2 linked regions of the Kluyveromyces lactis genome follow. The protein of the gene in region 1 interacts with the protein of each later gene in a biochemical or structural test. Links are inferred from orthologs where the notes say so. Each region holds a gene or a part of one and is shown in the gene's direction. Other genes may lie near its edges. The genes, in order: SPS18 and ARL1.

Region 1 (3,099 bases):
CCTAAAAGCACCATTGCTTCTGTTTGTACCCTGCATATCGTTCCTGCCCCTCCGGTGACAAACACGACCTTGCCATGGAACGTATCCTTTTTCCACGGCCCATTCTCAACAAAAGTTTTATCTAAAGTGTTAGGCATTCTCTCTTATACTGTTTCTGCGTACCTCTATGCTCAATTCCTGTCACAATTCATCGAAGTGATGAAGTATATGTCCCTTAAATCTAGAAAATGTTGACCTAGCAGTATTTACCCACCAGTATATATATATACAATAAACACAGCGAAGATAATTTCAAACTAACACCCTAAGAAAAGGGCAATCCCCTAAGTTGCGAATATGTTTTAGCTTCCTAGTTGGAGATGGAGTCATTTGAATTCGATGATCATTACTTCTACTTACGGGCTTAACAAGTCTGACTATATAATTGCCATAGAGAAGTGGCATTATCAGGTTACAGCTGCTGAATAAAGAGCGGAGAAGGATGTATTTTCTGTCCGGGTAACAAATTATCCGGGTACTGATTGATCTAATTAGCTTATTAAAATGCTAGTAGTTGTTCAGTAACTCTTATACAATGCACTCCAGAAACAAAACGCAAGTTCCAACCATTATATCGCCCCTTTAACAACGTAATGATACCGGTACCGAGCTGTTTCGCAACTTTTCGAGACAGGATGTCAGGCTTCGTGTTTAATACTTTCATTTCCGAAGCCAGAAGAACATTTGTTACCCGGGCATGGGCGGCTTTTTCTCTATCTCTTTGCATGAAAATTCAAATCTAGACCTTCCGGTGAAAATCGAAATTTAGCATGTTGATTATTATCATGAGAATCAACGAATCGGTGAATGTTGTGGTTTCTGACGTACCCGTGTGTTTCTTCTGCTTCCTAGTGTGATTATTAGGGCTCAGCATCTGTGTTGTGAATCATTCGATATTTGTTACAGTATTGACACGCTTTAGAGGTTAAGTGTTGGTTCGTTAGTTTGTGTTTTGGGGTAGAACATTTGTTCGATATTGTGGCTGGAAAGCAAAAGTCAATTAAGAAGAATTGGAACTATCGATAGTGCCTGAAGTGTTAGGAGCCATCAATAACACTTTTGACAATTTAAATCAGTGAGCTGAGAATTTAAAGCTTGTGTTTCTTTTTTTTCCAGTTGATCACTACAATCATTATCAAATTCTCCGTCTAGATCCAATGTCAGAGTGGAAAGTCGATCCTGATAACAGGAGAAGGTTGTTACAGTTACAAAAAGTTGGTGGAAACAAGAAATGCCTTGACTGTGGGGCTCATAATCCACAATGGGCCTCGCCTAAATTCGGTGTTTTCATTTGTTTGGAATGTGCCGGTATTCACCGAGGATTAGGAGTGCACATCTCCTTCGTTAGATCCATCACTATGGATCAGTTCAAATCAGACGAACTAGTTAGAATGGAAAACGGTGGTAATGACAAATTTACTGAGTATCTGGAAGACCATGGGATTGATTCGAGTTTACCTCAGAAGTTGAAGTATGATAACGTTATTGCTTCGGATTATAAAGATAAACTAACTGCTATCTGTGAAAGCAAAGAATGGGAAGAACCTGATCGCTCTGATTTTGACCCAACCCAGCTTACAGCAACTAACTCTAGGTCCGGTACCCCTCAGCTAAATGGTTCATTGTCTGAAAAACTTGGCTCTGAAGAAGCAGTAAACCAAAAGGAGAAAAATGAATCCTATTTCGCTACACTCGGTGAGAAAAACTTACAGAAACCAGAACATATACCGCCATCCCAAGGTGGTAAATATCAAGGTTTCGGAAACACGCCTATTATTCAACATAAGAAAGGAAATCAAGCTGAACCTGGCTCTACTACCTTGACTTTGGAAAACTTTCAAAAGGACCCGCTTGGCACTTTCACAAAGGGTTGGGGCCTATTTTCTTCAGCCGTGTCGAAATCAATGGAAGAAGTTCAAGAATCTATCATCAAACCAAATGTCGAACAATTCTCACAAAAAGATCTATCTGAAGAGGCAGTCAGGGCTGCCAAGCAGTTTGGTCAAAAATTCCAAGAATCCAGTAGTTATGGACTGCAAGCTCTCAACTCTTTCACAAAGGGTCTGCAACAACAATTACAGGAAACACAGGATGGACCTGCTACCTCATCACAATACACGAAACTGTTTGACGGGGCAGATGCTACCTCAACAACGCATACCCAAGCTCCGGCACAAAACAAAACTTCAGAAAAGAAGATTTCAGGAGAAGACGGATGGGAAGAATTTTGAAGCTGAGAAGCTTAAACTCACTCAAATTTCTTTCACTTACTTTATAAATATCTCATTTAAATAATTGGGGTGGAGTTGAAACCCTCTATCACATATCCTGTGACATAATATTTTTGTTCAAATATTTTAAAACTGGAAGTAAACTTCGATGATGAAATGATATTTACTTTCGATCCACTTTTTATTTTTGATATAGATGAAAAGGAAAAGCATAAATAGAAAGGAAAAAAAGAACAGTTGATAGTCGTATGCTTGGGTACTATATAGTTGCGTGACTATTGCTTGGGTATGTTCGTCTACTCAAATTTCTTACAGTCACAATTTCTGGTTCTTCACCATCACCCTTTTGTTGTGAGGGGTCGACTTTCCATGTAAACTCCTGATCGTTGAAAAAACGTTTTGGTTCGTATGCTAAAGTCATATCTTGCTCAACTTTCGTACCATTAGCCAAGGTATACATTGCAGGCTTCCTCCAAATTGGTGGAAAATATTGCCTATATATCAACATAGCACTTGAAATTCCTATTGCAGCTCCAAACACATTATCAGTAAGAAAATGTCTATTATCTGCGAGAGTGGATGCACTCATCAATGTGGCAAAAAGAATCGGAAATCCAGTCAAGGGTAAAGTAATTGAGTTTGAAGAAGTAGCATGTTGGTAGATATTCACTCGAGATAGAATCATGAAAGTTAATAATGTCAAATTGGAAAAAGCCGTTGCTGCCGTCCCACTGGGAAAGCTTCTAAAGCCATCAGCCAAGACACGTAAATTATCGGTAGAACACGACCGAATGTCGATATTGAACTGGCCTGGAGCAATGTCTTTTAT
Region 2 (2,548 bases), on another chromosome or scaffold:
CTCATAAAAGGAGCACAACCCATAGTTCAGAAGAACAGGAGAGAGATGATTCAAGCAGATAGTCTTATTCACAGGTATGCAGGGATTAGGTGTCAAACAGTTTAATAGTATGATAGGCTCCCATTCGTTCATAGGCTTGTGGCTTATGAAAACAACACAGTAAAGTTCCAAATCTCGGCTTTCGTCATGTAGTACTATATTCCAGAACTGCAAATTTGATTCTTGTGGCTTGATATGGCATGTAGAGTGCTTATAATGGCTCAAACGTTTCCATTCCCTAAGGAGTTTCCTGTACAACGGATGCATCTTATGTGGATGTGGCCTGCTATTTGAAAGAAAAAAAAGTAGTGAAGAATAACAATTATAGGCAATGGAAAAGCCTTTCCAATAATGATATATTACCACACTTAGTTGGCAATATAGTAGTTAAGATATCCAATAATAATCACGTTACCCTTAGCTTTGCATGCAAAGGTATGCAGTCTTACTGTTTTGTATTTTTACAAATCAGATTAATATATTCTATTATTATTTTTCTCTGATTATCATTTTTGATCTACAAATTCTTCATATATTGTAGAATATGTTTATACAGATAGAAGAAGAAAGAAAATTCAGAGCATTAATCAGTACCGGTATGCCTCATGTGAGCTCTCTGCAGTTACAAACTCGCATATATAAAAAATTGAGATTGAACAAAAAAATACAGCGAGGACAATGTGAACGATACAGACTATATACGCAAGTAATTTTTACTATGTCTAATGGGGTCTCTTTGTTTGTTGTTACCCGGCCACTAAAAGGCCAACTACAATTTTAGTGAAAGGAAAATCTCAGGATCGAGTGATTAATAACACACTGCATTGGTTAGGAGTTATGATTTCATTGTATTTAATATTTCACTCATTACAAAGACATTATCTGATCTTATAGTACGAATACAATAAAATTGTTTACACATCAGGAGACAAACTTACCGCTGTCTGGATCGCTGTTTATTCGTTTATTTGTTTCGAATTTTGGCTGTAACTGGTTCTCAAATAAGAAATATTTTGAACAAGTACTTCCTAATTTTACATATCAACTAGTACAAAAGTTTTGGTTTTAAATTATTAATTGACTTATTAATACACCTTTTCTTTAATTACCAACTACCTTTGAATTGACCGCAGTACAGCAATTACTTATAAAATATCACAATGGGTAACTTCTTTAGTTCTATGTTTGATAGACTATTGGGTGCGGAAAAAGAATTACGTATATTGATATTAGGGCTTGATGGTGCTGGTAAGACGACGATATTGTACAGACTACAGATAGGAGAAGTGATAACTACAAAACCTACCATTGGTTTCAATGTAGAGACGTTAAATTATAAAAACTTGAAACTTAACGTGTGGGATCTAGGTGGACAAACTTCGATTAGACCATACTGGCGTTGTTATTACGCAAACACAGCAGCAGTTATCTTCGTTGTTGACTCTACAGATAAGGACCGTATGAATATAGCTTCGAAGGAATTGCACCTCATGTTGCAAGAAGAAGAATTGCAGGACTCCGCTCTGCTCGTATTTGCCAATAAACAAGATCAACCAGGCGCATTAAGTGCGTCAGAAGTATCAAAGGAGTTGAACTTGGCAGAATTGAAGGATAGAAGCTGGAGTATTGTTGCATCCAGTGCCATTAAGGGCGAAGGGATAACTGAAGGTTTGGATTGGTTAATTGACGTGATTAAGGAAGAACAAATGTAATTGTAGAAGGAATTGAAAACTGCATGTTTTTTAGTGCTTCCGGTCCCATTATATTTATCTACAACTGAAATGCTTTTTTAATTTGACATGACCTAAGATAGTAATAAAAATAAATGACAAAGCTAATAACAAAGTTAAAATTCGAATTGTTTACTTCCTGCCGATGCTGGCGTAATGTCCTATTGAATTCCTTTACACGCTTATTTCAATAGACATTCAATTTTCCCATGCATTTTTATTTCATCTCCAAAATCCTCCACTATTTCGTTTACGTTTGCGTATGCGTGATATAATGTTTTCTCCTATTCAAACCATTCCATCGTGCCCTAGTTTCATTATATATATAGCATATTCATAATTCGCATAATTAAGCAGTCATTATACCATGCAACCACGAATCCTTTAAATGGAACATGGTCTTGCCAACTACCACCATATCATTCAGTATATGATGTATTACTTCGCTCAACGTAAAAAGGTAAATCTCTTTGTTATATATTACAGGTGTACATTACCCCCTCGACGAATATCATATACTGGAAACAAATACCAAAAGCGGTACCTCTTTTTGATTATTATTTGCTATAGTAATAACTACAGGCATATAGCAAAAAAAAAAGTAACCGTTATAAAGATCGTGAATTGAAAAAAAAGTGTGTGTTATTAAAACGATGACAACTTATAAAAAGGTCAAGGGAGGCAAATAACTCAGGCCTGTTTATCATTCATGTTATAAGTATATGAATTGGTACACTTAGGTTTGAGGTTTTGTCAATTGGTCTTTTCAGTATAAACTC

The links.
Region 2: the proteins of SPS18 (region 1) and ARL1 form a complex in vitro, tested with the Saccharomyces cerevisiae proteins (2 studies listed by BioGRID, with this or other methods). The link is inferred for Kluyveromyces lactis from reciprocal best matches to the Saccharomyces cerevisiae genes GCS1 and ARL1.

What each region holds. Positions count from the first base shown.
Region 1 is NC_006040.1:1,593,364-1,596,462, forward strand, and holds SPS18 (Sps18p), read left to right. Parts: upstream 1-1,196; coding exon 1,197-2,270; downstream 2,271-3,099. Other genes in the region: SPS19 (2,4-dienoyl-CoA reductase (NADPH)), read right to left, coding at 1-137; KLLA0_D18964g (phosphatase PAP2 family protein), read right to left, coding at 2,530-3,099. UniProt on the Saccharomyces cerevisiae protein: GTPase-activating protein (GAP) for ARF1 and ARF2. Involved in intracellular vesicular transport. Required for transport from the trans-Golgi network.
Region 2 is NC_006041.1:2,193,355-2,195,902, forward strand, and holds ARL1 (Arf family GTPase ARL1), read left to right. Parts: upstream 1-1,199; coding exon 1,200-1,751; downstream 1,752-2,548. Other genes in the region: UBS1 (Ubs1p), read right to left, coding at 1-306. UniProt on the Saccharomyces cerevisiae protein: Recruits golgins such as IMH1 to the Golgi. Can bind and hydrolyze GTP. May be involved in trafficking events within the endosomal system.